3 linked regions of the Diceros bicornis minor genome follow. The protein of the gene in region 2 interacts with the protein of the main gene of each other region in a biochemical or structural test. Links are inferred from orthologs where the notes say so. Each region holds a gene or a part of one and is shown on either strand. Other genes may lie near its edges.

What was found.
Region 1: the proteins of DLG1 (region 2) and TMEM178A interact in a test that uses a peptide from one of them, tested with the Homo sapiens proteins (2 studies listed by IntAct, with this or other methods). The link is inferred for Diceros bicornis minor from reciprocal best matches to the Homo sapiens genes DLG1 and TMEM178A.
Region 3: the proteins of DLG1 (region 2) and KCNJ4 form a complex in vitro, tested with the Homo sapiens proteins (2 studies listed by BioGRID and IntAct, with this or other methods). The link is inferred for Diceros bicornis minor from reciprocal best matches to the Homo sapiens genes DLG1 and KCNJ4.

What each region holds. Positions count from the first base shown.
Region 1 is NC_080751.1:44,782,629-44,790,594, forward strand, and holds the start of TMEM178A (transmembrane protein 178A), read right to left. Parts: upstream 3,118-7,966; 5' UTR 3,090-3,117; coding exon 2,690-3,089; intron 1-2,689. UniProt on the Homo sapiens protein: Acts as a negative regulator of osteoclast differentiation in basal and inflammatory conditions by regulating TNFSF11-induced Ca (2+) fluxes, thereby controlling the induction of NFATC1.
Region 2 is NC_080754.1:29,485,037-29,492,201, reverse strand, and holds the start of DLG1 (disks large homolog 1), read left to right. Parts: upstream 1-4,012; 5' UTR 4,013-4,202; intron 4,203-4,661; 5' UTR 4,662-4,692; coding exon 4,693-4,711; intron 4,712-5,400; coding exon 5,401-5,532; intron 5,533-7,165. UniProt on the Homo sapiens protein: Essential multidomain scaffolding protein required for normal development. Recruits channels, receptors and signaling molecules to discrete plasma membrane domains in polarized cells.
Region 3 is NC_080764.1:11,499,681-11,506,849, reverse strand, and holds KCNJ4 (inward rectifier potassium channel 4), read right to left. Parts: upstream 2,323-7,169; 5' UTR 2,291-2,322; coding exon 956-2,290; 3' UTR 618-955; downstream 1-617. UniProt on the Homo sapiens protein: Inward rectifier potassium channels are characterized by a greater tendency to allow potassium to flow into the cell rather than out of it.

The sequences.
Region 1 (7,966 bases), on a different chromosome or scaffold from region 2:
TGAGGAGGACTAGCTGTGATCTAACATCTGATGCCAATCCTCCCCCTTTTTTCTTGAGGAAGATTGGCCCTGAGATAACATCCATGGCCATCTTCCTCCACTTTATATGGGACACCGCCACAGTATGGCTTGCCAAGTGGTGCGTCAGTGCGCACCTAGGATCCGAACCTGCAAACTCCGCTTGCGCCACCGGGCCGGCCCCTAAAGCTGTTCATTTCACCCATTCATTTTACAGATGATGAAACAGAGATCCAGAAGAGTTATGTAACTAGTCCAAGGTAAGTTAGTAGCAATGTTGAAAGTAATGGAGGCATTTTGGGCCATCTCCCAAACAACAAATTATGATCTTATAATGTATGGATGTCTGTCATTTTCTCCAAGCTCCTCATGTCTTAGTAATGTCAGCTCATTAACTTTCCCAGAAGCTAAATTTACATTGTTATTATTACAACAATGACAGATTTCAGAAATAGAAAATTCCCTCAAGAATAGTCAGCCTTCCCAATCCCATAGACAAGAAAACTGAAGGCCAAGGAGCCCTGGACACTTGTCAGAGGATACACTGCAATTTAGCGGTAGAGCCAGCAATGGTGCCCATGTCTTCTGATTACAACCTAGAACTCTTTAGCATTCTGCACAAAGGAATAGCTAAACACCATCAATATTACTAATCTAAGAAACAAGCATTTATGACTAGAAAAATATAATTCTTTTAACTAGTATACAAGTTCTGTGTTATGGAAGTACTGGGCTGGACAGACATTTGTCAGCAAGATTGTAGAAGAAGGGAGTTGGAACAATGGGTGGGAGGCTGGATTCAATAACCTCTAAAGTCCCTCCCACCTCTAGAACTATTCAATCCTGGACTGCCCCGGAGCTAGGCACCTCAACTAGCCTGGGCATTTGCAGAGGTGGGGAATATGCAGTGTCCTGTGGGGTCCCTCTCCTCCTGCTGTTGAGTTGGACTCTGCCCTGGTGTTTCAGGTGCTACTCTATATCCAATTTACATGCAATCAAATACTCTAGACATAGAAAGGGAGTAAGGAAATGCAGCTCTGTCATTTCCAAAGACAGACTACACTGCTTAGCTTTCAAAATTGCCTTGCCAAAATGAGCATTCCATAACTGAGCCTCCAAATTCAGCTTTTACAGTTTGTTCATGTACTATGCCACTATCAGAATTAATTATGCAGCATCTTCATGAGGAGAAATCAGATTTGGATGCAAGTTAGGAGAGGAAAGAAAAAGGTGCACTTCCCAAAGGACGGTTACTATATCTGATTCCCCCAAAAGCGCTGGCATCCTTCCAGGCACAGACAGATTTCAGATGGCAGTCCCCAGCTGAGCTAGCCACGGGAAGGAGGAAGTTGACATGTTTGAGAAATGAAGAATAAGCCAACTAACAAGACTCCAAAGGCCAAAATGTTACTAACTCCCTCCTTTCTATGTAATTCCATTCCCAACTGTAATTCAATACAAGTCTGTTCATTTGCCTTCCTGAATGGCCATTAAATATTAAAATGTACTGATTTTAGACTTTTTCTTTTTCTTGCAATAATGAGTCCAAGGGAAAGAAGATTTATTTTTTTCATCTCAGAGAAAAAGAATTTATATTAAGCGTCGAGCTCTGAAAGTTAGAAGGAAGCTTCACCAACAGAATGGTCACATTGAATATTTTTACATTTTACATTACAAAAAAAATTCAAACTATCTGATTACATGCATGGGAGCCAGGTGTTGCATAGATTTCAGAAGAGCAAACTGACGCTCTACAACTCAGTGTCAAATAACAAAACAACAAAAACAACCTTAAAGGTATCACAAAACAGAAGAGAGTGATTTTGTAGAGGTCCACGTGCAAATCCAGAAAGCTCTACTTTAAGGGGCTGGCGCAGGTTCTCTCCTCTCCACACCCTGGTGTGCCTGGACACTGAGGATGGGGTGCCCACTCATCAGGAAGGGCGAAAAAAAGTAGATGTCCTATCTGCCTTCGGCTGCCTCCACCAATGACTTAATGGTATCTGAGGTCTAATCCATGCGAACCCTGCGCTTCGGAGGGTTGGAGAAAGGTTCCTCCAGCTTCCTTAGCTCCCCATTAGCTGCCAGGGTGGGATGACAACATCAGTTCCATCTGCTACCAACATCGGCACAACACAAGAAAAAATCCTCTTTCCCCTCTTCTTAGGTTTGCACCACTTTTTTTTCCAAAGGTATTTCTAAAAGGAAAGCACAACTTGAGGGACGGAGCCCGCCTGGGAAAGGTGAGGTCTTCCTGACTGTTACCCTCAAGGGGAGCAGTATCAAGAAAACCCACACATGCCTTCAAGTCTGGCAGGTGTACAAAGACAGCGAAGGACGAGAGGAGAGTAAAAGAAGACGGGCAAGGGAAGAGATAGAGGCGGGGGGCTAAAGCACAGACTTCAGGGAAGGGGGAAAAGGAAGAGCAGGATGAGAAGGAAAGAAGAGAGTCATGGAAAGAAAGAAGAGCGAGAGAAGAAGGGAGGAACGGGAGAAAGAAAGGGAGAGGGATAAGGAACGGAGGCGGCGGGGAAGGATGAAAGAATGTGCAGGGGAGCAGGGCGCGGGGACGCGGCGGGGAGGTGGCCGCGGGGACCGGCGCGCCCCTGGGGAGCCGCGGGCTGCGCTCCCCGCGCGGGCGCCCAGGACGCAGGGCGCGCCCGCCGCTCACCTTTCAGGATGAGGGTGTCGATGTCCCGGTCGATGCCCAGGAAGTAGCACTTCCTCCAGAGGCCCGAGTAGGTGGCGAAGAGCGGGCGGCCGCACTCGGCGTCCAGCCCGCCGAGCCCCAGCAGCGAGCGCCAGGACTCGGGGTCGGTGCGCCCGGGGCCGCCCGGGAGCAGCCGGCGCCCCAGGGGGGGCGAGTCCCGCAGCGGCAGGTGCGACAGCGGCATCAGGCGGTTCTTCTGGTCCGGGGGGTCGGCGCCGGTGCGGCTGCGCTCGCAGCTCTCCTTGTGGCGCCGGGGGTCGGTCTCGTACCAGTGGTCGGTGAAGATGGCCGTGACGAGCAGCCCCAGGGAGCAGAGGCTGAGGCCGAGGCTGAGCGCCGTGACGAGCGCCCGCGGCTCCATGGCTTCCCGCCCCGCCGCAGCCGCCGGTGGGCTCGCGCGCCGCCGCCAGACACAATGCACTTGGCCTCGGCCCTCCGCCGCGCTCCCTCCCGCGCTCCCCCTCCTGCCCCCCACCTCCCTCCCGCGGCCTCCCGGCTCTCGGCTCCCGGCCCGGCTCGCTCCCTCTCTCCCTTCCCCAGCTCTCTTCCCAACGCCCAGCGCCCCCTCCCCGGCCCCCAGGCTCCTCGCCCGCCCCCGCGCCGCCCGCACTTTCTTGCCCTCCTCTGCTCCAGCCCCCTCGCCTCGCTGTCTGCGCCCCCACCCGCTCACTCCCCTCGCCTCCTCCCCACCTCCTGATCCAACCGTCCGCCCTTCTCTCCAGCGATCCCCCTTCCCTTGTTAATCCCTCCTCGCCGCCCTCAGTTCTCTCTTATCCTCCTCTCTCCTTAACCCTGTCCCTACTTTCGCCTTACTTTTCTTCAAGTCTTCCTCTCTCTCTTCCCCCACTCATTTTGTCCTCTGTTTCCCGGCTCCGCATCCCTTTATATCCCTGGATTCGATGCTTCTCTCCACCTACCCCTGAGCACACCGCCTCCCGTCCTCTCCCCTCCAACGACCTTAAAAGACATCCACCAACATCAGACTCAGTCTTGTCACTTGTCCAAGTTGATTTTGATCAGTGTCCCGTTTTGTACCCAGAAGCAAATCCCATCCAGGTCGGGCTGCGTGGTAATATTTAACTCTTTGGAATCTTGATCTGGAGCTATAGACCCTTTCTCGCCCCGCCGGAAGCATTCAGCCTCTTAGACCCCTTGGCAGCTCTCTCTGTCGTCGCTCTCCTTCCGTCTCTCTTGCCCATTGCAACCTCTCTAAGCGTTCTCTCTGCTCCAACTCTTCTGAAAGAAAAGACACCGAGTGTCACTGGACAGATACACCGACGGCCAGAGATTTTCTCCTATTTCACTTCAGCCTGCTCGGGGATGGACTTGTCGACCACTTCCATCTCCCGCCAGAGTAACGACCTCCTGGAATTTCTAGAAGAGCAGAGGATCAATAAACCCTTGCAATGGCACCTGCTCTGTATGGTGATTATTGCCTTTGAATAAAGAAAACCCCAGTAATACATCAAAGTAATGATCTCTCCTGTGCAAGTTTCCTGCGTGGGCTGGGAGAGTCAACAACAAAGCAATGCTCCACGACAAAGTCAACATCTCAGCTCCTTCTGTTCTTCCAGGGCACTCAGCACTCACTGATGTTAATTCTGAGAATGGCAGGCAGATTCACATTTTCTAAAATGAGGAAATGTTAGGACCCAAGGTACTGAATGAGTTAATTGCTTATGTTGTAGAGTCTTACAACAGAGGTGTAATACCCTTGTGCCACTTAATGCCCTTGGGGCCATGTCAGAGACAGAAAACCATGCTACATGAGCCCAGGGATGCCAATGCTTGTGTTCCTATGCCATGAAATATTAATGATCAAGAGATTATGAGGCATTCATTAGATGCTAAATGTCATTACTCCAAGATTTAATGGGACTTATTAATTAGTGCCCCGCATCAATTGGCATTAATGTGATTTATATATTTCCTCTAGAATGACATCTGTAAAGGTGGTATAAGAATCTTGCTGGGATTTATTTTCATTGCTGTTTGTGCTCAGCATCATCAGAGGGTATATTTCCGATGAAGGCTGTGTATCTCTTCTGCACTGTTCAGTTCACAGATAGATCACTTAAGCAAATCTTTCAGTCCTATCAGACCACCGTGCGCATTTCTGCTGACCTGACAATGTGAATTATTGCTTGGATTTTCTCACAGCTTGAGGAAGATCTATGGTGAGCTCCAGTCTAATTAAGGAAGACAAAGAATTGTAATTTTACTGTTCCTCTCACCTGTAAGCTTTTCCTTAACAGGAAACACTAAGCTCATCAAAGGAGTCTTATGTGGATTCACACAAAAATGATGAGACTTAGAAGCTTTCCTTTATTTATACTCTATAATATGTGTAAAATCCTAGATCTTTCTGAATACACAGAGAGAATACCTTTAATGGTGAGCCCACAGTTGACATCTGAAATTTACTCAAGTTGTCATGTGTCCTTTTATTTTAAAAAATGCCTCTTGAGATAAAATGATTACAAACCTCTCGAGTCCCAAGGGTGGTCAAACCTTTAGCAAGCCCTCACTCCCTTTTCAAACACTGACATACTACAAGAAATAAATATTCCTCCACATTTCAGAGTCACCTGATTATCTTCACACAATAACCCCAACCCCAACTGGAGGAGACAGAAGGAAACTTCTTTTTCAGGCACTTGTGTTTAACTTAACAGAATGTAATGTTCTGCCTCATTTTCCCAGCCAGAGCTCTTTGATCAGACCCTTCTTAGAAAATAGCATTATTCTTGAAGTTTATTTGTGTCTATGTTTAAGACCAGTCTCAGCACATAATCCAAAGGTTACTATATGATGTATTACCCTTGACAGTATTTCATAAAAAATGTCACACATTACAAATATGGGCCAGCAGCATGTAATGAGAGCACTGCCTCTGCTGGCGCAGCATTAATGGCATCAGCAGGGATGTGACATATGATGTGTATACAGGCTTCGCTATGGCTGCTGCACATTGCTCCATCCCTATTCTTAAAACTTCTCTTTTGGCTATTTCCAACAACGAAATATCACTAACTGCTGCTCTGTTAGGGGAGTGGGAAATACAAAACGGAATAAATGGTTCCCATCTTCAAGATGCTCCCAGTCTAGTGGCAAGAGACAGACACGTAGACTATTCTATGTGCTCTAGTAGAAATAAGAACAAAGTCTTATGAGAACATGGACAATGAAAAGACAAACTGCCTGGGGGAGTCAGGCAGGCTGCTTAGAGTCAGTAACTTTTGAGTTAGTTCTCAAAGGATGAGTTAAACTTTACCAAGAGGATTAGATCAGAGATATTGGCATTACAGTCAGAATATAACTCTTTGATTTCTATATCTACTCCACAAATTTGGAGGCTTCAATATGTTGGGCCACTGTAAAATAAGAATATTTTTCTACATTTTTAAATCATAAAGCCGACATGTCCTAATGCCTGACTACAAGCTAAATACTTGCAGATGAGTAGAAGCAGAAGTCTAAGCCAGAACACAGTCGATGTATGAAGGCATCTAGCCTGGCAGGCAGTCAACATGATGCGAGATCAAATATCCAACCAGAACACCGCGGCATGTCTCAGCTGTGGCTGTGCTGTGACCTCAACATTTTCAAATTTAGCTCGTTCTTCACTTGTGTTAAATTTCTCTGTGCTGTCTCCAGATCTGATATCCTCAGTGCATCCGTTGGAGAACAACAATGTCCTAAAATGACAGAGATTGAGCCAGAGAATTTCCATCTGGGTGTCTCACTGTATTATTGAACTCAAGATGTCCAAAAGTAAACTTTTATATTTCCCTATGGTCCAGCTGCCCCTCCCCACTTCTCTCTCTCTGGTGTTAAGTCATTCAAGTCACTGAGACTCAATATTTCAGAATTATCTATCACATTCACAAAGTCATAGGGATTTTTCCTTTAAAATGTCTTTTATAGCCAATCCTTCCTCTACATTTCTACCACTTCCTATCACTCTGCCTCTGTCACCTTGCATCTGGATTATTATTACCGCTTCCTCCTTCCCAAGATTCCAGGAGCAACCCTGCCTCAGTTATTCAGGATACTGTTGCCCAATGCATCTTCCTCAAATATTACCTTAATGATGTCATCCTTCAGGTTCCAATTCTCCTTTCTAGGTTAGAGAGAATTATCCACTATATTACTCTAGAGTCCTTCCCATAGCATTTAAACCTCCCAACTGATATGTTGGCCATGTTTAAATATTTAGAAAACAAAATACTTTTGCCTTCTCCAAACACACTTATCATGACACCTAGGTGCTTTATGACATTCATTGTATTTTTCTTTACAGTCAGGAAGTTCTTAAATATTTCCTTATAAAAAGGTCTGTATGTGCACATGCACACACACACACCAAGACCTTCAATTGTCACAGAGCTATGGCAATGATTTATTGACATACCTATGCTAAGCTAAGCACGCTACTCATGAATATTGTAGAAGGCTTTCACCTTTTTTCCAGTGCTGAGACCAAAAGCAATATCCTTCCTCATTTCAAACATTTGGATTCCACAGAATTTAGACTATGCAATTTAACCAAAACCACACACTGGCTTTCATAATGCATGGGGATTTTTTCTTGGTAATATCAGAAATTTTTTTCAGCATTTAATGTGAAGATGTAGTCAATTATGTTGTTGATCTATGACATGTCATTTCTGCAAATAGTTGAGGTATCTTATGTTAAAGTCATCATTCTAAATTGTTTCCCTAAAACATTTTTATTTTAATTCAACAACATAGATGGAGCACTTCCAATGTAAGTTATTGTGCTAGGTCCCATTGGATTATGCAAAGATAAGAAAAACATGGCCTGTGCTCTCAGAAAGCTCTGGGTTAATGGAGGGGGAAGATAGAAATGCAAGAGGCTACAAAGAGAGATGGCCTGGGATGAGTGCTACCACAGAGGCGCAAATAAAACGCAACAGGAAAACCTAGTACAGGGAGATCAGTTTCCACTGGGAAGAATATGAGTAAGCAAAGTAGGATAGATGCTAACTCAGTGAGGCTTTGGAGGAAAAGGGGTATTTTCTGTATGTGTGTCAACTTAGTCCAGGGCAAAGCCAAAAGTAAATTTTAGAAGTAGCGCCCACCACGGTGCTCTTCTCTACCCCACGCATGTGGTAAGTCATCTTGGCAGTGCCATTTTGTCACTAACTAGAAGCCTGGAACCAGAAAATACCACAAAACTCCCAAAATAGATGGTGCCTGATAAGTTTCTCATTT
Region 2 (7,165 bases):
CTCTGCCAGAGTAAGAACAAAAGATGCAGTAGAGTCTGGCAGGACCTGGGTACCTTTACAGAGGATAGGCTGGGGACTTGGACCAGGGAGAGTACAAATTCAGAAATGTGGAACTATAAGGGTGGCTTGGGTAGAAGGATGGTTGGGAAGGGAAGATTTAGAACTGAGAGAGAATATTCTTTGTGATCAAATCTCTGACATCTCAATAGAAGAATGGGAGATTTGAGCCTTTTCCTGTGGTCCTCTGACTCCTAAGCCTTTTAAGCTATTTGAAAGAAAAGTGAACTTGGGGCTGGAAAGTGTATATATAAATTTTTTTTAATGAGGCAGTTGAAAAAGTAATCAGATCCTATATTGGATCCTATTCAATGGCAGCTGCTACCTGCATAAAGTAAGAAAGACTTCAAGGAAACAGAAGTTGTTTGGAAAAATCCAGTGTCATTGCTTTGTATGTTGTAGTGATGTGGTAGCCAGCCTCCAAGATGGCCCCTAATGATTCTTACCTCCTGGTATTCATACTCTTGAGGCTGACCTAAGTAACCAATAATATTGTGAAAACGATAGAGTGTTACTTCTGAGATTAGTTCATGAAAGATGTTGTGGCTGCTGCCTCACCCTCCCGAATCACTTGCTTTGGAGGAAGTCAGCCACCACGTCATGAAGACACTGAAGCAGTCCTACAGAAAGATCTTCATGGTGAGAAACTGAGGCCTCCTGCTAAAGGCAGCATCAACTTACTAGCCATGTGAGTAAGGCATGTTGGAAGAGCCTCCCTTAATCTCAGGTAAGAATTCAGATGACTGCAGCCCTGGTAGACATCTTGACTGCAATCTCTTGAGACCCCAAGCCAGAACCATACAGTCAAGGTCCTCCTGAATTCCTGACCTGCAGAAACTGTGAGATAATGTTTATTGTTGTTGAAGTTACTAAGCTACTAAGTTTTAAGCTACTAAGCTTTGAGGAATTTGTTATGCAGCTATAGATAACTAATACAAATGGATAGATAGGAGGAATGAGGAGTAAAGGCCTCTGTAGGGGCACCAGCCAGCGTGCCCCTTTAAAACCATGAGTCCTTGAGGCTCCTTGGCTGGGCTACGTGGCAGCACTCACGATGATAACAGTCCTGGGCTTGGCCAACCCAGCTGTTTTCTTGTGGGATAATTAGCACAGAGACCCTTGCGGTCTGAGGGAACACAAAGGCCCTCCAGAGGGGAGTTCTGGTCCTTGGAAGGCAGGTCATACAGGGATGATCCCCCTTGGCAAGCATGCAGCCTTTGTTCCTCTGCCTACTTAAGCAAGCTTCTCTCAGTGGGCAGTTGCCGGTGCACATCTCCTGTCCAGCCAGCCGCCACTGGACGTTCCCTGTAAGTAACTCCCTAATAAACCCATATGTCTTGCCCGCTGTCTCTGGGTCATTTCTTTGGTCTCTTGGCAAGATACCCTGCCACCTTAGCCCAGCTGGGTGTGCGGTCCTACAGCCCCTCATACTAGGCCTGCACTTGTCATGGCCCCTAAGGGTGGAGAAAGTGCTAGCTTCTTTTCTGCTTTTTGACACTGCTGACAACTGCATAGGGATAGAGGATGACAAGAAGGAAGGGCATCATGCCCTCTTGTCTCCTCTTTCTCCTCCCTCTTCTCTTTGTTTTTAGGGGAGGACTAGGATGACACTGAGAATTCACACAAATTTTTTTTTGACTTTTCAGTAGCTCTTGGGAAAGGCTGCGCTAGCCTTTATCCATTTGGTAGTAGGCTGTGGGTCCTTGAGAGCTGGGCTTGGATATTATTCATTTCTATCCCCATTGCCTAGCAAGTGAACGTATATGAACAACGAATGATACTAAGAGGGAGGGCGAAATCCCTCTCTCCTTCTCCTCAATTCTGAAGAGACTCCATTCTTAGAATGGTTCCTTAAGTGGAACCATTCCATTCACAGTTCATCAACGAAGTCTTGATAATAATAGCATGCGTGCCATCAGCCATTTTCACTATTAAAAACTCCCTTACTTCACTATTTTAAAAATCCCTCTATTTAAGCTCCTTGCTTTTAGGAGACTTCTCTCACTTTTACATCCCATTTCTTCTATGAAATGTTGCTTTAACTGTTGCTCAAGCTCCAAAGATGCTTAATCCACGACAGTATAGAGATCTGCTGCCAATACACCAACACACCATTGTATGGAAAGAGCCCTGGCCTGGAGCTAGGAGACCTAATTCTGGGTTGCTGTCACTGATTAGCCTATATGTCCTTGGGCAAGTTGCTTCTCCTCTCTGGACCTCGGTTTCTTTATCTTAAATGGAGAGAGTGGGTCTAGATGAGCCCTAAAGTCGTCGGGTTCTCACAAGAAGTTAAGATTCCAAGGTGCAATCCAGAAGTGAAACCCAGTGGTCAGAGGCATACGTCTGAGTAACTGTTATGGTTACAGTACAAGGTTCTCCGGACTTCCCTTTACTAGCCCAAGGATACGGCCTCCGTGAAAGGCTGTCAAGTTTACTGGGAAGAGTCTTCCGGTTTTGAAAGACACGATCTCCGTGTTTCCAGTTTTGTCACTAACTCTGGATGACCTTGGGCAAATTTTTCTCTCTCAACCGCAGAGCAGAGAGATCTTTGTTATCCAGAAGAGGCTCAAAGACCTGGGCAGTGACTTGAAGAGCTTTCCGTGATTCTCCTACAATCCGAGTGGCTCAGCCCCGGAGCAGGGTCCTGGCCGGCCAGTAGTCCCGCTCCAAGGTGCAATCAAAACTCAGACCAGCTCTTTGAGCGAGGGGCGGCTCGGCTTCGGAGGCGGCGGCTACAGGTGAGTTCTTAAGGGGCCGCCAGAGCTTGGGTAATACGTGGAGACTGGTGACTGGGCAGCGGACGTAGGCAAGGGGGAGTGAATGAATGAGTGAATGAAAGAAGGAACGAATTTTCTCTTCATACCCTTAAATGCATTCATTCATACTTGTGATGAATTCATCACTTAGACTTAAAAATCCCTTAGTAAAATCCTCAAACTCTTATCAAATTAACCAATCTCCCTATTTTACGTGCCCTTCTTTAATTCACCCCCCCCAAAAAAAAAACTTTTACTGAGGGGCGAATAGTAACTTGAAAAAAATCAGTGCAGAGTGGAAGACTGTGTGCAGAGATGGCACCCCCCACCCCCCGCCCAAACTCCTCCCTTTCCCCGTCCCAGGCTCTGCCCTCCCCGCCCCCTAACGTGGGGGGCGCAGTCCTCCCCAAAACCACTTTTCTAGGTTGGAGATCTACCCCCGGGAGCGCCAGGTACTCTCTCCTGCCTTTGAGTTGGAAACAGCATGTGTCTAGTGAGGTTAAAGGGAGTCCTGAAATGTGTCTTGGATCTGGTGTAAGTGAGGTCACGTCTCTCTTCAGACACCCCGACCCTTCTGGGTCTGGGGCGCTACTCGCTCAGAACCGCGGGGCACACCGGTGGACTACGGTTAGGTAAAGGCAGGCTCTTCCAGGCCACCCCGGGCCACCTGTAGAGTCTGTGTGTCAACTCCTTTGTCCTCAGAGCCACTTCGGTGGCCGTCCTTTTAAGCGAGGAGGTTCACTTGGGATGCTCCCCAGGTCCCCTTCCCCGTTCCCCAGCCCCCTCCCGGCCCTCCTCCCCCTTCCAATCCAAAGGTAGCAGCGCTGAGAGCCCGAGGCTCGGCGCGAGCCGCCTCCTCACTTCCCATTGGCTGGGAGCGCCGGGAAGGCGGTCACGTGGGGGCGCGGCAGTCCAGCTCGGGGGCCGCCATCTTGGCGGAAAGTTTGGGGGGAGAGCGGTTGGGGGCGCGGAAGGAGGCGAGGTTCCGGGGGTGGGGCGGCTAGAGGGAGAGAGGGCAAGCGGGCTAGCGGGCCGTGGTGAGCGAGGAGGCGGTGGCGGCGGCAGCGGCGGCGGCGGAGGAAGAGGCAGCGGGGGTGCGGCCGCCGAGGGGAGCTCCTCCCCCGTTCCCTCACCCCCCTGAGCTTAGCTCCTCGAGCCCCGGGCGGGGCGGGGGGACGTGGAGCGGGGGCAGGGCGGGGGAGCCGCCCGAGTCCGGCCGGAGCGCACCCCAGCTCTGAGCGCACGCCGCTCGCAGGAACTTTGTGGCGGCGCCGCAGGTGTGGGGGCCCGCGGAGGTGTGCATGTGGGGCGCGAGGGCGTCGCGGAGAGCGGCCGCTGCCCTGTCCGGCCCCCGCTGGAGTAACCCGGAGGAAGCGAGCCAGGAGAAAGGCAAGCGAGGGGAGAGGGCCCGAGCAGGGCGGGGTGATCAACCCAGCTGGTCCCTTCCCGGAGCGCTCTACAACCGCTGCTGGCTTAGGGGCAAGGGTCGGAGCGCCTTTTCACCCCCCCAGTAGCAGGTGGGAAGTAGGCATACTTATACCGGGGGAGGGGTGGCCCCAGGTCTAGGCATTTAGTGCCCTTTAGAGAGGGGGCAGCTTTCGAGGAGGATTTGGAAGCCGACTTCTCTCTGCTTTTAATTTGCAGGGCTACCCACCCCTGGGTAACAGCTTTCTAGATTGATTGACACTGCTAGGTTTTGAGGCTCCTCCTCTCACTTGGGAAAACTTTGCCAGGTGGGCTTTTCCAATAGGGCTGAGAGTTTTTCGGTTTGAGATTTAGGGGGAAATGCTAGTTTAACCACAATTCTTTTCTTTAGTTCTGTTTGCTTTCTGTTTTATGTTTTTAAAGGTGTGTGCCCTCTTCCTGATTCTGGAGAAAAATGCCGGTCCGGAAGCAAGGTGAGAATTTATTTTGGAACTTTCTTGTGAGTGTCACTTGCTTTTCTGTGTGTCTGTTTTGTGATTGCTGTGTTTTAAAAATGTGTAACTCTGATGAGACAGCACAGTCCTAACGTTAGTAATCTAAGCCTCACATCATTCAGAAGATGGAAACACTTAATGTTTGTCAAACTTTCTTCCTTGACATCTCTGTAGTGATTGGAGAGGCAATTAATGTTTTCCCTCTGAAGTGTCTTTTTGAAAACTCTTAATTGGTTTTTTAATATTTCACTTTATCATTTTTACTAAACACTATTTTGTGAGCAAATGTGGGATATTGGCTAAGAGCTAGTATTTTGAAACACTTGAGATTTGGATTATAATGACATTGTGGATAATCTGCTTTTGCATATCAGATCAGCTGAAACTATGTTGCTAATACTTTGATCAAATGATCTTTTATTGTGGTAGACTAGCCATACACATTTATTACAAACTACTCACCTTCCTCTTCTTTCTACTGTGACATATGTTTAAAATTTTTTGGATAATTCTAGGGAATATACCTGTACATGAACATAGTAATATCGATTGACCTGGAGGATTTTGAGAACTGTTGAGACGTCTTGCAGAATCATTTGCTTCATAGCTAGTGTGTAATACTTTCTTGTAAATATATAATTTTTATCAGACTCCTTTTTTCTTCTCAGATACCCAGAGAGCATTGCACCTTTTGGAAGAATATCGTTCGAAACTAAGCCAAACTGAAGACAGACAGCTCAGAAGTTCCATAGAACGGGTTATTAACATATTTCAGAGCAACCTCTTTCAGGCTTTAATAGGTGAGACTTATTACTTTATTTGTGACCATTATGTGTCAGCTGGGCTTAATGCTGCTCTGAATTCATTTATTTTACTCATAAGAGAGTGATGTACTTGGTTCTCTGTGAGTCATTCAGTAACTTGAATATGCAGTGAGTTGTATATTTTGATAGTTAGGCCAATATCCTTTCCAAAAAGATCTAATAACCAAAAAAACTTTCAGTATGATTATTTCAGTGGTCTTTGCTAACAGTGTTTCATATCCTAACATTAACTATTAAAAGATGGAGAAGTTGCAAAAATGTTTCAGGACTCAAAAGGTAACTACTGTGAATACTTGCTTCTGTATTTGACTTGTATTTCTGTGGAGTACCTGAGAATGCTTGAAGAGTTTTGCTGTGTTTAAAAACATTCATTCCTGTAGTATAGATGTCTGTTTGAACTTGGTATTCATGGAGTCAGAATTTTAGACCTGAAAAATGATCTTAGAGATAATCTTGTCTAATCTTATTTTACAGACAATAAAATTGAAACAGAATTTTATTAATTGTAATTTAAATATGAGGTGGTGCATTGTTTTGAAGGAGAACTGGACAAATAGTCAAGAGTCTTGAATTCTATTCTTGACATTGCCGTTAATTGAATGATATTACACAAGTCATTTAACCTTTTTTTTTTTTTTTTTGTGAAGAAGATCGGCCCTGAGCTGACATTGGCCAATCCTCCTCTTTTTCCTGAGGAAGACTGGCCCTGGGCTAACATCCATGCCAATCTTCCTCTACTTTATATGGGACACTGCCACAGCATGGCTAGCCAAGCGGTGCGTCCGTACGCACCCGGGATCTGAACCAGCGAACCCCGGGCCACCGCAGTGGAGTGCGCACACTTAACCGCTTGCACCACCAGGCTGGCCCTGTCATTTAACCTTTTTAAGGTCACAATATTAGCTGTAGAATGTGGGTGCAGTGGAACAGTGGTTTTTAAGCTTTTTTTTTTGAGTGGCTAGATCCTTTCTTAAAACAAAATCTTATATTTTGTACCCAATCCTCGGTATATAAAACAAGGTGATCTGTCTCTGGCCCTCTCCTCTAGTACCTTGAAAAGTATGCAAACCACTGAAATAGAAAATTTGTCCCTTCCAATTCTAAGAATATAATGTTTTTTTATTAGTCATTGACTATATAACATATTAACACAAGACATACACTTCATTGCATTACATTTATTTTCTCAGTAACTTCCAAGTATATCGATATGACCTCACATCTGTCTGTTGTTAGAGTAACTTTTGATGTGATTTGAGGACTACCTTCAAGTTTGTGTACCCTGTCAACTTATAGGTAAATTGATATTCTCTGCTGAATTTGTTTTAGAATTAAAGATTTTAAAGAAGACCACTGAATACACCTGAATATTTTTTACAAATTTAACATTTTAATAGACTTTTAAAACCATACATAAAAATGGAGAGAACAATATAATGAACTGCTGTACACCTATGACCCATCTTCAAAAATTATCAACATTTGCCTTTTTTGTTTAAACTGGTGGACATCTTTTATATTTGAATTTCTAAGCTCTGAGGTTTAAGGTCCAAATGAATGATCAAATGGATTCCTCTGCAAAAACAGCAAAAAAGGAAGGGAAAAATTA
Region 3 (7,169 bases), on a different chromosome or scaffold from region 2:
TCCCATTGGCTCCCAAGAAAAAGAATGGCAGGTGATAAAGTTCTCTCCAAGGGTTAGTAGCTCAGAAAGAGGTGCGCACACACACACACACACCACTCACATCCTGTTGGTGTCTCTCACTCTCTCTAGCTCTTCTTCCCAGCCCTCCATCTTCAACCAGCCTACTCCTAATGGACCATATACTTTATTAAAAATATATAGTTACAAACTCCATTGTCAATCTGGGCTGGGCCCGGGGGCCCGGAGGGACCGCAGGGAGGGACTGGCCCTCATCCTGCCCCTCGGGGTCCCACCTCTGCACTCAAGCCCAACACCATCCAGGGGCCAAGACGGCTGGCTTTGAGGGCCTCAGGGAGCAGCCAGTGGGGCAGGGGGAAGGGCTAGGCTTGCCTGGCCGGGAGGGGGAGGGGGCACAGAGAGGGACCACACCGCCTCGTCCTGCAGGTACCAATGGCAGAAGGTGGATTTGGTGCCTCCATCTCTCTCCATTTATAGATATTTACAAAAGAAAGTCATGAGCAACAGGCCACAGTCATGCAAAAGAAGCGCACCCCCCTCCCTCCCTCCCCCAAACTAACCCCCTGCCCACCCCAGAACACCATGATGCCCACCCCCCCAGCAGTCCAGCCGCCTTCCCCAAGGTTCTGAGAGCAAAAGGGGCACGTCCTTGAAGGGTCAGTGGGGAAAGGGTGGTGGGTCTGGGGTCCCTAAGCTGCCAGTGGGTAGGTGCTGGGGGACCCGGGCTGACAGGGCGGAGAGTATCCGGGCCCTTCCCAGGCCTAGGCTCCGGAGTCAGGAGGAAGGGACTTTGAAGTCCCAGTCTTTGAGGCCCCCACGTCCCTCCAGAAGGTCCATGGAACCAGGGTCAGCTCTGTCCTGAGTGCGGAGGGGGTGTCCTGGTGTCCCACCCCCAGCAGAGGCTCTTGTGGGAAGCAGCGAGGGCAGGGCCTGGAGGTCAGATGGCGGACTCCCTGCGGTAGGAGATGTTGTCCAGCGGGAGGGTGGCCTGCATGCGCTCCAGATCCAGGTGGCTGCCAAACTCCAGCATCCGGATGATGCCCGCCTCCTCCTTGGAGCCCGCCTCCAGGCCCAGGCCCGCGGCCACCGCGGCAGCGGCCGCTGCCTCCTCCTCCATCTCCTCTTCCTCTTGGCTCATGAGAGCCAGCTCGTTCTCGTAGCAGAAGGCACTGGGCGGGGGCGGCGGGGCGGGCAGGACGGTGATCTTGCTCTCCTGCAGCTCCCGGGCGGAGCAGCAGGGCGTGCCGGCCACCTCGTAGGTCTTATGGAAGCGCGAGTAGTCCACCTTGTAGTGGCTCTTCTCCTCGAAGACCACGGGCTCGAAGCGGTGGCCCCACAGGATCTCGCTGGCCAGGTAGGAGCTGCGGGCCTGGGTGGTCATGGCGGTGGCCTCCACCATGCCCTCGAGGATGACCACGATCTCAAAGTCCTCCGACTCCAGCTCCTCCTTGCCCATGCCGTAGAGCGGGCTGTCCTCATCAATCTCATGGACGATGATGATGGGCGACACCAGGAAGATTCGGTCCAGGCCGATGTCGTAGCCCACGTTGAGGTCCCGCTGGTCCAGCGGCAGATACTCGCCCTCCTGGGTCATGTAGGGCTTGATGAGCTGGGCCCGCACGTGGGCCTCCACGATGTGGCTCTTGCGCAGGTTGCCCACGCGCCACATCAGGCAGAGCTTGCCGTCGCGCACCGAGATGACCGCGTGGTGGCTGAACAGCAGCGTCTGCGCCCGCTTCTTGGGGCGAGCCATCTTGGCCATGATGGTGCCGATCATGAAGGAGTCGATGACGCAGCCCACGATGGACTGGACCACCACGGCGATGACCGCCAGCGGGCACTCCTCCGTCACGCACCGGAACCCGTAGCCGATGGTCGTCTGCGTCTCCACCGAGAACAGGAAGGCGCCCAGGAAGCCGTTCACGTGCATGATGCAGGGTTTGGGGGCCACCGGAGCCGCCCCGCCGCTGCCCGCAGGCGCCCCCGCCGCAGCCACCGCTGGGCCGGCCTCCAGGTCACCGTGGAAGAAGGCGATGCACCAGAAGAGCAGGCCGAAAAAGAGCCAGGAGACGAGGAAGGCCGCGGAGAAGATCATGAGCATGTAGCGCCAGCGCGTGTCCACGCAGGTGGTGAAGATGTCCGCCATGTAGCGCTGCGACTTGTTGCTCAGGTTGGCGAAGTACACGTTGCATTGGCCGTTCTTCTTGACGAAGCGGTTGCGGCGCTTCCGCCGAGGCACGTGCGCCTGCCCGTTGCGGCTGTGCGCGTGCATGTCCTGAAGCCGGCGTGCTCACCTGGGAAGACGCGGGGCCTGGGGAGGAGAAACCAGACGGGTGAGATGCTGGCGGCGAGCGGCTGCAGCGGCGGCCTCTCCGAGGGCCCCGGGGCGCCCAGGCTCGGGGGCGGCAAGGCGCCTGTCCAGAGACGCCCAGGAAGGGGAGAGTCGGGACTAGAACCCAAGACTTGCACCGCCCGGTGGGCAGAAGGGGACAGTTAGGTGGTTCTGACGACAGGGAGGGAGTGTCGGGCCTGAGCCAGTGCCTCCGAGGCTGGCCCGGCTCCAGAAGCTGAGGCCACCAGGATCCAGGTCCCAGTCCCAGCCCCTCACTCCGCCCCCTCAACCCTCCTTCGCCCCTGTTCCCGGAGCTTCCTGATGCCCATCTGGGCTCTGCCCTCCCACCATTTGTCCCCTTTGCCTGGAGCAGAGGGAGCTCTGGCCCCCTCACCTCCTTGGGTTCAGCCTCTGCCCTCTTGGGTCCCTCGGGGGCTGGACATTCTCCTGTGCTGTCCAGTACAGCAGCCACTGGCCACCTGTGGCTCTTACATGTACTTAGAATTAAATAAAATTCTGACTTCGGTTCCCAGTTGCACTAGCCACATTTCACGTGCTCAGTGGCCACATGTGGCTAATGGCTACCATACTAGACAGAGCAGACATTTCCCTCAGGGCAGAAAGTTCGACTGGACAGTGCTGGGGCCCACAGCCCCTTCTTGGTTCCTGTCCTGTCCCCAAACTTGTTGGGAGGAGTGGTGGGTGGAGACTCCACTGGTGGTGGTCCCAGTGGAGGAAGAGGGAGCCCCGAGCTTTGGCTCCTGTGTAGGTATCGGTGTTCCCATGTCACAGGTGAGGGAACAGGGGCTCAGAGAGAGGAAGTGACCTACCCAAGCCCACACAGCTGGTAAGTGGGTCCAAACCCAGGTGTGTCTAGCTCTTCAGGCCCTGGGTGGTGGCAACATCGATGAGCTCACGGTGTGCAGACCCGAAGAGGGGGAGGCAGACACATCTGCTGCCTAGCTGTGTCACCTCGGACGACTCACTTCACCTCTCTGAGCCTCAGTTTCCTCATCTGTAAAGTAAGAATCAAAACTCCACCACAAGACCCAGGGAGAGAGCGGGTGCTCAGTTTAAGCCAGTCGCCCTCCTGCCTTCCTTGCCGCTTCCCGGGTGTGGGGGGGTGGGGGGAGAAGCTGGTGAGAGGCAGGATTCGCCTGTCAGCGTCCCCAGCTGTTCCAGTGGAGGCAGCCCCTCACCCCGCCGGGTGGCAGGCGCAGCAGCTGGGCCCTTGGAAGGCAGACCCTCCCTCCACCCTCTTTCCCACTGGGGCCCCAGGAGAGAGATGGTGCTGCCCAGGGCCCCAGCAGCTGGCAGGGCCAGGCCCGGGCCTGGGTTCCCGGTAACATTTTGGCCCAGAATTATATAAGGCTGGAAGTTTCTATTTTCTGTCCTATTCTTCTTCCTGATCTAATTGTGCATCTGTGGCAATGTTTATACACTTCCCCGGTTCAGGACAACTCGGTTGCCCCGGCAACCAGTGCGCGCCAACGCTGTAATTTAGAGATCAACAGCTTCAGAGCCTGCCTCTGCCAGGGAGAAACTCCCTCTCTGCGCCCAGGGAGAGTGAGCCCTGCCCTCCTCCCCCACAGTCACCCCACCCCGACTCTGGGTTCTTCTCCCTTCCCCCCTCAAAAGGAGCTCCCTGGGTCCCACAGTCCTGAATTGAAGTCCCAGATCCACCACATAACTTGGGCAAGTTACTTGACTGCTCTGAACCTCAGTTTCCTCATCTGGAAAATGGGACCAGTGAGACCCATCAGTCTGAACAGGTAATGTGGATGTGCATACTGGCCCCCAAGAGGTTACAACTTTAGCTGGGAGTCCCAGACCCTGTCTGCCCCCTACCCAGAGTCCTGATAGCCAGGGCTCCAGGTGGCAGCCCTAGGGGACTGGGGGCCAGGTGCACCTTCTAGACTATAAATAGTTTTCAGGGGGTCTTCCTTCGCCACACATCTCCGACTCGACTCTGTCCTGCTGTCTTGAATGCCTCCATTAGCACCACAGAAGGAACTAGAGCCAGGAGGAACGGAAGATCACTGATTTCAAGACCCTCATTTTACATCTGAGGCCGAGGAAGCCCAGAGCTGGGACGGACTTGCTAAGGGTCCCAGAGCGAGACAGGGTGGGCCAGCCCTGAGCCCGTCTCCTCACTCCCACTCCTGGAAGAAGGTCAAGGTGCTCCTGGGCAGAGGAGCTGCCTCCCTGGAGGGGGCTGGGGTGGAGTTTGGGGCTAGGGAAGAGAGGGCCCCAGCCCGGCCCCGGGAGGCCCTGGGCCCACCTGCCACAGGTGTCCGGGAGACAGGCAGGGGGGACAAGGTGTGGTGACCTGGGGCTTTGATGGGTGAGGACACTGAGGCCCAGGGAGGGTGAGGGCCCCGCCCAAGGCCACACAGGAGCCCAGGGTGCGGGGCCCCTGGTCCTCTGCCACAGGGAAGGGCTCTGGTCTGGGGGCTTCATCTTGTGCTGCAGGAGAGGGCTCTTCATGGGGCTCCACCCTCTAGCAGGGCCCTGGGTGCGAGGAGGGAGGGAGACCACCCCCCACGGCTCTAAGCTCTTGGTCCTCCCCTCGCCAGCATGGCCCAGTGTTTCCCATTCATGAGTGGAAGTGACTGGAATCTCAGCCACGCTCATGCCCCAGGGTCGGCCCGGAGGCTCCGCATGTCCCCACCCCGACACTCCCTCCGCCCCCACACCCCCTCCGCCCCCACACCCCCAACTTCAGTTCTCACCCCCTGCCCCTGCCCTGCCATCCCCGGGTCCCCCGACCCCCAGCAGCCCCCGCATCGTAGCCCGGTGGCGGCACAGCTTATCCTGTGTCTTATCCAGCTTCGCCTGTGTCAGCTCAGGTGACACTTGAAATGTCCACCCCTGGGCCGTTGGGAAAGCAGCCCCCAGGCACAGGTGCGCCCCTAGACTGCCATCCTCCACCACGAGGAGCCCATGTGCACTGGGCTGGTGAGCGCCCGGCCCTCGTCCGCAGTGACCTGCTCACATCAGGGAGCACTCCCGTCACCACGGGCTCCTTTGGCGGAAGTGAGAGGCTCGCCTGCCACCTGCACGATCCCAGACCAAAAAGTGAAACGTAGGAAGCATGGCGTTGTGCTTTCCTGTGACAACCACTGGGAGACTGGTCAGGGTGTCTTCCCTTATTTGTCACTTGGGGCTTCCTGCCCAAGGCACAAGGGCCCGAGGGAAAAGCGCAAAAGAGAAGGGGCACGGAGATGGAAGAGGGGCGAGAGGCACTGACAACTGGGTACCATCCTCCTCTGGATGTGGTTGTTTTATTAAGAGAGAGAGAGTGAACCCTGGTTGTTTAGGCGCCTGCGCCATGTCTACAGTTAAACCACCCTTTTATGGAAGGCAGGGGGCTGGTCTAACCCTCTTGCACCGAATGCGCCCTGTGAACACACAGGGAAGAACGTGGTTTCAGCACATTCCCTACGGGGGAGGCTCTGGGAGGCCGGGCCCCTCGCTCTGCCTTGCTGGGTGACCTCGGCCAAGTCCTTCCCCTTCCCGTCCGGGGTTCTTCCTCCAGTCTCTGTCCTTTGTTCTTTTTTTTTTTTTTTATGAGGAAGATCAGCCCTGAGCTAACATCCATGCTAATCCTCCTCTTTTTTGCTGAGGAAGACTGGCTCTGAGCTAACATCTATTGCCAATGCTCCTCCTTTTTTTTTTCCCCCAAAGCCCCAGTAGATAGTTGTGTGTCATAGTTGCACATCCTTCTAGTTGCTGTATGCGGGACGTGGCCTCAGCATGGCCGGAGAAGCGGTGCGTCAGTGCGCGCCTGGGATCCGAACCTGGGCTGCCAGTAGCGGAGCGCGTGCACTTAACCGCTAAGCCACCGAGCCAGCCTCTGTCCTTTGTTCTATGAGGGCATCTGGGGACTCTCTTCATGGAAAATGTTCTTTCTTTTGGGGAATGACAAGATGGGAGATGCTGGCTGCTTTTTAAAATTTGAGTGTCCTTTCTTGGCAAAGTGAAGAATTCACAATGCTGGGCCAGTTACCAAACTTTTCTTTTAATTTTACTGGATGCTGTGTACATCCAAAATCTGCAGCCCCTTGTCCAAACTTCACTGGACAGCTAGGGAAACTGAGGCTGAGAGCAGGGCTGTGGCTCGGTGAGTCAGCAGCTGGCAAAGGACGCTCGGGCCTCAGGGAGATTGTGAAGGTGACTCGCAGGGTTGACAACTCGCTGGCACCGTCGCTATCCTGCCCCTTCCTGAGGAGTTAAGGAAGGCTGGACCCTGCCTGCCAGGGGTCCAGAGGAGGTAGGAAGACCACCTTGCTCCTGTCACCTCTTAGGTTTTCCCTCTGATTTTATGACACTAAACGGTGCCTCCTTGCCCACAACTCCTTTTGCGAAAGAAGAGCTGATAAAATGGCAGCAGCCTCAGTGGATTCCAGCAACCCTGGCAGGCTCTGAGGGCAAGTTTCCCAGCACACACCCTCGCCACTCATGGGAGACACAGTGGCGGCCGCAGGTGCGCCTCACCTGGGCCCTCCAGCCCCAGACAGCAGCAGCAGCAGCCGTTCCTGAGAGCCGGGGCCCTGCACTCAGCCCCCTGGACAGCGGGAAGGAGGGGCAGAAGGCCTCGCTCAGGGAGCACTCAGCCAATGCCAGCCTGCAGGGCCCTTATGCATCCCATTGTTATCGGATGGGACAACAGGGGAGGTGAAGTGACTTGCCAGAGGTCACACAGCTCAGCCGTGGGGCGCAGCTGAACCCAACATCCTTCTCTGTGGCCATTCTCAGGAAATGAACACTCTGGAGTACCAGCCCTATGCCAAGCACTGCTGCTCTGTCTCATTGAAGC